3 linked regions of the Macaca fascicularis genome follow. The protein of the gene in region 1 interacts with the protein of each later gene in a pairwise test. Links are inferred from orthologs where the notes say so. Each region holds a gene or a part of one and is shown on either strand. Other genes may lie near its edges.

What was found.
Region 2: the proteins of NT5C2 (region 1) and MOB3B interact in binary tests that used the Homo sapiens proteins (3 or more experiments, as listed by UniProt). The two-hybrid records come from large-scale screens. The link is inferred for Macaca fascicularis from reciprocal best matches to the Homo sapiens genes NT5C2 and MOB3B.
Region 3: the proteins of NT5C2 (region 1) and NME7 interact in binary tests that used the Homo sapiens proteins (3 or more experiments, as listed by UniProt). The two-hybrid records come from large-scale screens. The link is inferred for Macaca fascicularis from reciprocal best matches to the Homo sapiens genes NT5C2 and NME7.

What each region holds. Positions count from the first base shown.
Region 1 is NC_088383.1:112,136,638-112,140,148, forward strand, and holds part of NT5C2 (cytosolic purine 5'-nucleotidase), read right to left. Parts: intron 3,268-3,511; coding exon 3,176-3,267; intron 3,044-3,175; coding exon 2,986-3,043; intron 1,977-2,985; coding exon 1,883-1,976; intron 630-1,882; coding exon 576-629; intron 1-575. UniProt on the Homo sapiens protein: Broad specificity cytosolic 5'-nucleotidase that catalyzes the dephosphorylation of 6-hydroxypurine nucleoside 5'-monophosphates.
Region 2 is NC_088389.1:71,440,905-71,445,154, reverse strand, and holds the start of MOB3B (MOB kinase activator 3B), read right to left. Parts: upstream 2,808-4,250; 5' UTR 2,551-2,807; intron 1-2,550. UniProt on the Homo sapiens protein: Modulates LATS1 expression in the Hippo signaling pathway which plays a pivotal role in organ size control and tumor suppression by restricting proliferation and promoting apoptosis.
Region 3 is NC_088375.1:26,996,333-27,000,390, reverse strand, and holds the start of NME7 (nucleoside diphosphate kinase homolog 7), read left to right. Parts: upstream 1-1,251; 5' UTR 1,252-1,338; coding exon 1,339-1,341; intron 1,342-1,517; exon of another isoform or gene 1,518-1,575; intron 1,576-4,058. UniProt on the Homo sapiens protein: Possesses an intrinsic kinase activity. Displays 3'-5' exonuclease activity with a preference for single-stranded DNA. Does not seem to have nucleoside diphosphate kinase activity.

The DNA.
Region 1 (3,511 bases):
TTTTAAAAAATTTTATCAGGTTTCCCAATATTGCCTTTTAAGGTATTTTAAAGCTTTCCTTATTACTCTCTGTAATAAGGCATTTTAAATAACGGTAACATATATGCACATTTTTGAGATGATCTAGTGTAGTAGTTATAATCTGGGTATGACTCAGCTTTACTACTTACTAACGTGTGACCTTTGGCAAGTTATTTAATCCCTCTATTTCTCAGTTATCTATAAAACAGAGGTAACAATAATACCTAACTCAGGGTCATACAGAAGATTAAGTGGCATAATGCATGTAATCACTTAGCATGGTGATGTGTATACAGTAAACCTCTAACTGCTATTATAATTGAAGCTAAATGGACAAATGAAATACTGAGTCTTCTTGCCTATCAAGAAATGGAAAAACTATACTAAGACCTATGCTCTAGCTGAATATTCTTGGTGATTATATCTGGCACATACTATACCAAGACAAAGAAATCTCTTCCTTTGTCCATTTCATTATAAATCAGCTTGTTATTCATTTCCCTAATAGGTAAAATGAGCTATTATGCAGATCTATTTTCCCCTATATTACTTACATCTTTGACTACATACTTCTCAAGATTTTCAACTGTCTTTTCCTTAAGGGAGCCCTAGGGGAAGGAAAAAAAAAAGGCATTAAGAAAAGAACAAAATCAGTTTTTAACGTGTAGTTTATAAGAAAAATGGTGTTTACTAATCAACCCAAATTCTTTCTTTTTTTGAGACAAGGTCACCCTATTGCCCATGCTAGAGTGCAGTGGTGTAATCTCGGCTCACTGCAGCCTCAACCTCCCCAGGCTTAGGTGATCCTCCCACTTCAGCCTCCCAAGTAGCTGGGACCACAGGTCCACACCAACACACCTGGCTAATTTTCTGTATTTTTTGTAGAGACAGGGTTTTGTCATGTTGCCCAGGCTAGTCTTGAACTCCTGAACTCAAGCAATCCACCTGCCTCGGCATCACAAAGTGCTGAGATTACAGGCATGAGCCATCATGTCCAGCCCCAAATGCATTTCTTAAGGATTTATCAAAATAGAAAAGTGACAAACTAGAGAAGGCCAGAAAAAAGTAGCAGGTATGATTTGCTGCAACCCTGCCTCTAAAATTTGTCTTCAAAATATAAAACAGTTTCAAGTTTGAAATTAAAAGGCATTTCATATTTTATTCAATAGTTTATAATAAATGTAAATTTAATATTAATTAATGTTTGTAGTCAGGTGGGAGGTATCTGGACAAAAAAAAATGGACCACTGTCATCCACAAAGGATATGTTAAATATAATGTAATACACTAAAACCTCTTCTACGTTTGAGAAATGCAAACTAAAATAAAATCCAGAAGTCAAACACCATCGCTGAGGAAAGATCAACATTACCTCCAAGACCAAAGACAAGAACATATGTATTCTAGAGAGCTATCACTAGGGGGCAAATCCATTTTGTCTTTTTTTTTTTTTTTTTTTTTTTTTTTTGAGACGGAGTCTCGCTCTGTCGCCCAGGCTGGAGTGCAGTGGCTGGATCTCAGCTCACTGCAAGCTCCGCCTCCCGGGTTCACGCCATTCTCCTACCTCAGCCTCCTGAGTAGCTGGGACCACAGGCGCCTGCCAACTCGCCGGCTAGTTTCTTTGCATTTTTTAGTAGAGACGGGGTTTCACTGTGTTAGCCAGGATGGTCTCGATCTCCTGACCTTGTGATCCGCCCGTCTCGGCCTCCCAAAGTGCTGGGATTACAGGCTTGAGCCACCGCGCCCGGCCATTTTGTCTTTTTTTAAAAAAAGGAAATATTCTGCTCCATTTGGAAAGTTAATGCCAGGCCATAAAACACATGCCAGAAAGCGAGCAGGTGAAGCAGCAGCTTCTAGGTACCTTGTAATGAACCCAGTCAACAGCATCTCTTACATCCTGGAACATACTCCGGTAGGACATGAAGAGGTCCCCATCTTTAAATCCTGTCTCACAACTACAGAAAGATAAAAAGAACATGACAGGGGATCCAAAACAGGGCAATAAAATATATGTCAAAAATTTCCCAGGGGACCCAAAGGTTCCGTATCACATGGGTAAAGGCTGTGGCTAATGAGGAAAATAATTACTCCCTAATGAAAGTCCACTTTGACCACCAGAAATGGCTATAGTGTTCAACGGAATACAATAATTGTGAACAAATACAAAGTGATGGAAGAATATATTGAACGTAAGCTAAAAGGCCAAAGTTCAAAAAATATCAGGTTTATTTATCACGTTTTAGAAACAGGTTGAAGAAACATTTAAAACTTAAAATTGGTCATTTAGGTTCTTTCCACCCTGACTTTTCTGACACTGTCCCTAAGTACAAAGGTACTGTCCATTTTTTATTTAGCTCAGTGACTCAGCTTTCCACCAAATTTAGTGTCTTCAAGTAGATAAAGCCCAAAGAGGATATGAAGTTAGCCAACTCTGGCTAAACTTTCAGTATTGGCTATATAATTCTCCCTAAAGGAAGAGGATAACTTGTTTAAGACTTATGCAAAATTTTACTTCTGGTAAGATACACAGTATTTATTCCTTAATCAAATCTTGCCGGGCCTGGAAATGAAATTAAATTACCATCCCTGAATGGCTCCTGGGTAGCTGCTGTGAAATGAGTTGGGGGGTTTTAGTGTAATTCTGCTTGGACAGATAATCATCACACAAACCTCCCACTCAGTTGTCACAATTAGCACCTCTGCTGGCCGTCTTCATTCCCAGGAGAAGCCAATCAGAAGTGGTGGCTGCAGCACACTGGCAAGGAGAGGGGCCGTGTGGGAGGTGAGAGCCTGCATGGAGCTGCTGGTGCTGTCCCATCTCTCAGGCTGGCAATGTGGCATCTCTCACTAGCACTAAATTCACTTTAGAAAAGCAGAAAAGACCTACAATGGCCAGTTCTCTAAAACCCTGTGCATTAATTTAAAAAATCAATTGGAAAAAAAAAAATTATAGTATGTACATACCTGGTATATCTGGGACAATTAGTAAAAAAATCTACTAGGCAGGCCAACAGGTAGGTCTCTGAAAAATGAAGAACAGATACTCATAAGCTATAATGAAATAATTCAAACTTATTTCATTATCTCCCTTGAACAGAGACTAATGGTCACAGAAGGGAAAGCATCAGTATAAACAAGCATAGAATGAATCTACCTGGTAGGTTGAATAGTGTGTTCAGAATGTAAAATCTTTCAGTATCATCTCGCTGGATAAATTTATTTGGATACTGTTCTCTAGTTTCTGGTCTGAAAGAAAAATTTAAAAATTAAATGATTTTTAAAATAACATTATAATAATTGGGAAACAGCATTATTCAAAAATTAACTCAAATATTTTGATGGCTATGTGCAAGACAGGATTCCGAATATTAAGCATGGGTAGCTATGAAGATGAATGAGTTCAGGTTCCAGCTCTTTTTCAATTTTATTTTATTTTATTTTTAAGACAGAGTCTTGCTATTTTAAGTCCAGGCTGGACTTAAACTCCTGA
Region 2 (4,250 bases), on another chromosome or scaffold:
TTTATTCCAAGGAAACAGATAGATAAGATTGTTCACTGGAACCTTGTTTATAATATCTACCCCTTTAATATTCATTTTCACCTATCAGTATTTTCTATTTTTCCTATAATGATTTTTGGGGGAATTTTTAATTCTAAAAGAAACAGTACAAGCTTAACTTCCATTATAATTACCCTGTTTTCCTTAGTGGGTAGGCCAAGACAAGAAATGCTCTTTTACCTTGTTAATGATACCTTTGGGTACTTCTTGAGTAACTATGGTCTTTTTTGTTGCTTCTGGGTTGCTGCTCCTAAATTTCAAAGGAATCTTTCCTTGGGGTTCATTTTCATAATGAAATGTTTGTAAAGTGCCTTTCAGTACTTCAAAGATGGTGCTGTTTATCTCTTACTGGTTCCACCGTTGGGAAGGTAAAGAGATATAATATCCAGAAATCACTATAGAAAGTGCTCTATGTGTCACATTCCTGGCTTAGCAGTCTCACTTCTGTTTTGTTAAATGGAAACTCAAAAGTCCTGTTGAGTTGGCAAAGGGAAAACTCTCGGAACTAAACAGAGCCAAGCTTCCGGTATCCACTGAAAATGTCTGAGTGGGTACATGGATCATAATGTTCCTAAGAAGCCTCCTTCTTCCCCTGGGTTGAGGAGGAATCAAAAGTGTAATCGAGCTTCCTTGGAAGAGGGACTGACTGGGGATCCCACAGGAAAAGCTGGCAACAGCAGGTCAACTGCAAGGCTATGGGGAGGTATAGGTTGCAACAGGTGCAGTCCCAGTCAGCCTCCCCTCAGAGGCAAGACAACTTGCTGGGCACCATCTGGGGACCCTGCCTTCTCAGAGTAGCTACTTTGCTTTTGCCCCAGTTCTTTAATCAATAATCCACACTAAGAATGAACACAATGCATAAGCATCTAACTTGTGCAGGGAAACAGGGGCGCCTGCAACCCAGCAAGCGCACCCACAGGGTACTCAGGGCCATCCTAAGCCACTTGTTCGCGGGAACGTGGAAGAGGAACTGTGCTCTGGCCGTATCTGCGCTGCGTCCTCTGAGTCCTCTTTTTCTACAATGCAGAAAGGGTACTTGAGATTTAAACTTGGAGCGGTACTCAAAGCCAGAACTCCACGTTCATTCCGGAGTGAACCACCACACCACTATTTCCAGGCAACGTCAGGAGGCTTCCTCGTTATTTGCATCTCCGTTCTCTCTTTGGCGACTAGCCTGCCCTCCCGCCCTTGGAAACTTGTGGACTCGAGAATCTCAGCTTTCTGCCTATCAAAGGTGCCCCGATCCCCTCCCACTGCCCTAGCAGCAGCCCAGCCCCAACGCCTTTGGCTAGAGATTGAAATCCTCTGGAACCAACCACGGGACACTTTGGATTGGGGCGGAACACGATTCCACTGTCTCGAAAGCAGCACCTTCTCGGATTTGCGCCCTTTGCGGCGCGCCTGGGTTGAGATCTGAGAAATGCGCCCCGGGCCACAGGCAGCAGCGGAGGCGGGGAAGGAACAACTTTCCCTCCGCCCTCTAACCACAAGGGCGGGGTGGGGCGGCCTCGCTGGGGTCGGGCTCCTCCGCTTCCCCAGCTGGGATCCCCTGCCGGAGCTGGCATGGGGGCCGGGGAGGAGGACCAGAGGGGCTTCCTTCTCTCCCCAAGCCCTGCCAGATGTTGGAAAGGCAAACAATAGGCGAAACGCGGAGAAACAAAAGGCCATTCGCCACGATCTCAGTCGGCTGCGTCGCTAGGTCCCTGCGGGGAGGGTTAGGGGAAAGGGTCAGGAAAGAGGGCGAGGGGGAATCCGAGAGATTTAGGGTCTCTGGTACTTGTCAGGCGCCAGGGGTCTGCGCTTTACCCTCCCAGCAGGGGTCTGAAGGTGGCAAGGGGCAATCAAAGAAAAGTGGAAGGGTTTTCACCTTCTTCCCCAGTTCAGGGAAAGGGAGGGCTGGGATTCCAGATGTTTGACAGTTGTTGGCCCCAAAGTTAAGAGCGATTTGTATGGCCTTTACACGCTCCCCACCTCCATGAGGCATTGTCAGCCCCGGGGGCGACCTGGCTTACAGCGTGGAGTTCCCCGACGCTGCCCCAAGCCGAGACTCCTCCCTCAGGATCAGGACGCCCAAGCGTTGTCCCCCAGCCCGGGAGCACTTTTGTAAAAGTTTGTCTTCCCGCCACCCACAGCCCAACACGCACCCTGCATGCGTCCGCGGCTGGGGATGGGCTCGGAGACTTGCACCCCGAAAGAAGGACGATCTTATTGATTTATATCTTTTCAAATCAAGGCCACGGATCCCGGGGTGGAAAGTGGGCGACCCTAGTTCCTGCCGGGAAGTGCACACAAGGAGCCGGCCAGAAGCCCAGGCGCCGGCAGGGGTCTGAAGCAGACTCCAGCCCCGGAAGCCCGCGGCCGGCCGGCAGCGGGCCGGTCGGCCGCCTCCCGCACCTTCTTGCACACGCGCTCAGGTGCGCCCCGCACCTCGCCGCCCGCCTGGGTGAGGTCGGGGGCGAACAGCCACCGGGCTGCGCCGCCTCCCCTCGCTTGGAGCGGGTTCTTACTCACCGTGGGGTTTTACCTCCAGCCCAGGGCCCGGTCGGTTTCCTTCGCCGGGTCAGCTGCAGCCAGCGCGAGAGGAAAATGGTGAGCTCGGGGCAGGTGGGGCGTCGCTTCCCAATCCACTCAAGGGACTCTGCGGCCGGTGCGCGCGGTCCCAGCGAGCCAACCGGCGGACAGGCGAGAGCCTGGCTCCAGAGGCAGCCGCCGCCGCTCCGGAGCAGCCCCCACATGCACCCAGCGCGCCGCGCAGCCGGCCGGGGCTCGACCGTCTCGCGGGGACGCCGAGCGGGGACCCCTGGCGGCCGCCTGCGGAATGGCAGCTCCGTGGGGAGAAAAGTCGTCTTTGGGATCATCTTCCCTCCGGAAAGAGATGGGACATGACCAGTCCTAAGGGGGCTTCCAGCCTTGCAGAAAAGACACTGACTCGCGGGCCAGGGCAGTGAAGAAGGTGTCAGATCAGAAAGGATGATCTGTGGGTCTACCACGGCCACTTTCAAGGCACCTAGAGAGGGGGAAACGGTTTGCCTTCCCCAGAATTTTCTGATTGTTGAAAGATACCACGAACTGCCTGACACAGAGCGGAGCATCAATCATTGGAAAATACTCGGATTTTAGCGGATTTACTAGAGCACACTGGGAGTTATGGATGAACATAGATTTTAAAGTCCAACCCACAGCCCGCCACTCTCTACTTGTGTGGTCTTGGTCTGTCTACAACCTTAAAGCCTCGGTATTCTCCTCCGTAAATTGGCGGGGAGCAATATCACCCTTGCAGGGTGATGGTTACGGGTAAACTACATTTAAAACGTCTTTATAGTTCATAGTAACAGTAATCAAATATGAGCTTCCTGCCTTCTGCAGAAAAAGAATTGGGTCTTTCACATTTTTCTATTCCCCATATGATCACATCTTAGTGCATATTGGTTGAAGTGTACCAAATGACGAAGTACTGCATTTTACCATTCTTACTACACACTTCAAAGCGGTGTGGAAATACATTAAGTAGAAATTAAGATATATGGAGAAAACATCCCTCCTCCAAAAGAGGTTTCTGCAACTAACTACGAAGTGAGAACTTCTAAAATCACTTAAATCTTTTGCAATATCAAGTCATCTCAGATATTTTAAGAAACATTTAATAAATAGTCATGACTTAGTGATATCAACCCTGGATTAAATGACTCTAATTCTGTGTCATTTGTGTAATGTAAAGATATCGATTGTGAATATAAGACTCGAATATGAGAAAACTGCCAGATACAAAAACATAGCCCCTAAGCAATATTTCTGTTCATCACCGAGGAATCTCATTTCCAAACTGCCCCAGTTTTTAAGAGGATGAACATCAGAGTCAGACAGACCCATAGTAGCTGAGTCTAACCTTTCTGAAGCTCTGTTACCTCATCTTATAAAATAAGGATAATACAGGTATTCAATGAAGGAATACATACAACATGCTTAGGGTAACACCTGTCACATGGTAAGTGCTCCAGCGTCACCACCTGTCATTCTTTCCAGCATACTTCTCACCCCACACACATGTAGCCCCTCCCTCATGAGCTCAAGGGCCCCCATCATGTGTTATACTCATACACGCACAAGTTTCAGTGTCCCTTAAGATGTTATCTTCTGCAAATTAGGAACAGAAAGAATATTTTCAGGTAGTTTGGAATAGAATAAATAACATTCACATTCTTTGCCCAAGT
Region 3 (4,058 bases), on another chromosome or scaffold:
GTAACGAACGAGAAAAAATATTACTCAAGATAACATAATTCATATTTTTTTGGTAATAAAGTTAAAATAGTGTAGCTCCAAAAGTAAAAAGAGAAACATATATTGAGCACATGCTTTCAGAAATGTACACACTGCCTACAGTACAGACTCAGATTTACTAGAAAACATATAAAAAGGTGATGCTACTGCAATGATATAAATATGACAAACTGTACACTAGATGACAACTGGTGTCACTACAAAAAAAGATCGCTCTCAGTACTAGATACAACTCAGTTCAATTAGTGAACCCGACGACTAACTTTCTTAACAGTCACAAACTTTTCTACACTACAGTCTATTGCTCCGAAAAGAGGTATCCAAAAAACCCTTCGTAAGAGTAACGATCCCTGAAACTGCCCTTGATAGTTGCTCTGCGAAACATACAGGCACACCGAGTGCGTGCTGGCAAATGCCAAATGAAGGTGAGGGGGTGAAGAAGTAAGTAGGGGGAGTGAGCAGGTATGAGAGCGATAGGCCGGGAAGCGACAAGTCTGTCAACCTTTGCTGTCCCGGGAAGTCGAAACCGAAGTTCCATTCCTGTCTGAAAAAGCCTTCCCGGAACAACAATCGTTCCCTAAATCCAAAGCTACTGGCCACCAAGCTCCAGCCAGACCTCCGTCCCTTTCCAACATCCTTAGTTATACCTGCTTGTCCTCGGATTTACCTGTAAGATTCTTATTCTCCGTATTTCAGGGGACTTCACTTCATAGGCTCTTCGGATCGGTATCACCAGGCTAACTTCTCACAGACCTCTTCCATTCAGAAGCCGGCCCGCCCAGGCCCTCCACATATCCAGGAGCTCTCTCACTCCTAACCACTTCCGATTACTCAGGGTTTCGCTTCCGGAATACGTTTCCAAAAGAGAAGGGTAAATACATTCTGCAGTGCGTTTAAACTCAAGTAACACAGAACACACACTGTAAGGCCTCCGTAAGTGGAAAGCGGACAGATGTCTACTTTAAAATAAAATACTGTACAGCAACTTTTGGAGCCCAAGCCTCAGATTCACTTAAACTTCCGGGCCAGCTGTTAAACAAACGGAAGTAAAACTGCCGGAAACAGAAAAACGGCGTCTCGTAGCCCCAGGCGACAGCGTGGAGGGGCGGGCCTGTCGATTGGATGAACGCAGCTGAGATTACTCCCAGCCACTAAGGACGAAGAGGTGGGGCGGTGGCGTCCCACGCACCGTGCGACAGTGGGCGGTGCTCTGTTGCCTGAGTAACCGGATGATGGTGTTGGTGGTGGTGTCTTCCTGTCTCAACGATACCTATTTTCTAGTGCTGAGATCCTGAGACAATGGTGAGTGCCAGGGGATGTCAGAATAACGGCTGTGGGTCCTAGCTACTTAGCGTTCCAAGTCTTCGGGCGGATGGGCACTTAAAGTTGTCCTGTCCTCCCGACCTTCTCCTCATTATCTCTTTCCCCCTTCCCATGGGCTGTTACTGCAGTTTACTCGCTCTCCGTATTTCTTACAGCACCCTGAATTCCACTGATGCTACTAAGTCTCTAGAGTAATGAAACAGAAAATTCAGGGTAAGGCATCGAGTCTAATCACCTGTTTTGAACAACATTATGTGTTTTCATTGTTCATCGTGGCATTTTTCATGCTCACAGATTCACATTAACGCGCTTTATTAAGAGTGTGGGGTGGTGTGTATGTGACTGTCTCAACACTGATCTGAATCTCCCTAGATCTTGGAGTCCTTTTGCTTTTCTGAGTGGCAGAGCACTGCCCCACGCCCCCACGAGGGCCATTAACAGATGTATGTTGGATCAGCTCTCGTCTGTCCAGTTGCTTACCTTCTAGGTCTGTGCTTGCTTTTCTTTTCTTTCTTCTTCTTCTTCTTTTTTTCTTTCTTTTTTTTTTTTTTTAAACAGAAATTTCTCCTGGGATTGCTTGGAGAGCTTCTGCAATTCACTGTTTGGACTTCACCCCTGGAAATTCTGAATGAAAGGAATGGGGCTTGGTATTTGCATTTTAAATAAACCTGTAGGTGATTTTAATTCACCCACATGTTTGAGAGTACCAGGGTTCTAGTTAATTCACTTAACTATCGTGTCTTTTAAGCACTTATGGATAATGGACTGGAAGATAGAAAGATCTTTAGATAGTTATAGCTACGAATTTAGAAACAGAGCCCCCACCCATCACCCCTTGTTTCTTCATACTACTCAGCAATCCTTTTGGTTACCCCAGTTTTCCCCTGCCCCATTTTCTGTAAAGACATTTTCAAACCTTCCATTTATAAACCCTGTCTTTTGCCCTTCTCATTTCTCCTTTCTAAACATGATGGAGTATAACAATTCTTCAACCTCATGCCCCCAACCTACACACTGATCTATATTTTTGCCAAGCCTTTAGTCTTGTATTTCTAGTGTAGAGAAAGGGATATTAAAGGATAATCCATCCATCTTTGCTTTTGATCTCATTTGCTTCCATCTGTTACATTTCGCTTCCAGTTGTCTTTTTTCTTTCCTGTGCTTTCAGCCTCTTCCTCTTCAGTTCCTTCTACTCAGTGCTCAAGTCACACATCTTATGAAAATTAAATAAAGCAAAACCATGTCATCCATCCTGTGTTTATCCAGTTATTTCCCAGTCCTCCTATCTATCAGTAAACTTATTGAAAGGATATTATTTTTACTTATATCAAACAGACAAAAGTCTTTTGTCTGGCTTCTTTAATGCCTTCAAGAAAGTTGTTCTTGCTTAAGTTTCTAAAGGCCTTTTAAATGCCAAATACAGTAATTACTTCTCAAAATTTATATCGCTTAGTCTGTTTGTGACAACTGAGGTTCATAGTCATTAATTCCTTTTACTGGCTGTGCCTGGTTTTTGAATGTCATTCTTTGGAATTCACTCCTTAATTACTTTCATTTCTTAGTCTAGACATTTTCCTTGGGTGATTTTGTCCACTCACATGGATTCTATTAACACCTTTGATTTTGCTTCTAAATTTCAATTTTTCTCTCAGATCTACTAATGCCTAACTCAGTTGCTTCCCGGACACATCTGTCTCAAAGGTCCCTCAAACTTAATATGACCAAAACTGAACTTGCTATCTTTCCTCCTGGTTTCTCCTATTTTCACCAAGTTAAATACTGCTACTACTATATTGTAACCTAAACTAGAAATCAGAGTTATCCTACATTCCTCCCTTTCCTATTTCTCCCATATTCAGTTGGTCACTAGATCAAATTTTAGTTTGTCATCTCCTCATTTCTTGATTATTTTAATAGTGACTTTTACAGTCTGGTCTGGAAATTCTCCAATCCATTATTTTCTCTGCCACAAGAAGGAATTTTTAAAAACCCAGCCTGTTGATTTACTCACCTCCTTAAAACTCTAGAATCCCCATTTCCTACAGTAAAATGTCTAGAGTGGCACACAAATTCCTCCATGAACAAGCACTTCTCTGTCTAGCTTTTGCCTTTCCTTTTCCATACCTTTTTTTTTTTTTTTTTTATAAAAAATTATCTTGCCTTTTAGCTACTTGCTTTTCATTGAACATACCAAGCAACTTCAAACTGGTAGTATGCCTCCTCTTTCTACTTTGCACTTGCAATTCCTTCTGCACAGAATACCTGCACCCTCTTGTTGCTTGCCAAACTCTTATTTATTCTCCTGTTACAGGCCAACGTGTTCTTCTTGCCCGCTTCCCAGAAAGGCCAAACATCGAGAATGCAGGAGTTGCAGCAGAGAAAGAGTTTAATGGAGGCAAGGCAGCTGAGTGGCAGGATAGGAGATATTTCTAAAATCCACCTCTCTGACAGCTTGGAGGTTGTGGTTTTTAGGGATAATTTTGTGGGCAGGTGGGTAGGGAGTGGGTGCTGCTGATTGGTTGGGGATGAATTTATAGGTGTTTCCAAACTGTCTTCCTGTGCTGAGTCAGTTGTCTAGGTGAGAGTCATAGGACTAGTAGAGTCAGTTTCTTGGTATGAGTCATGTATCTGGGTGGCATCAGGAGGTTTGCCAGAATGCAGAAGCCTGAAAAATATATCAAGACCAATCTTAGGTT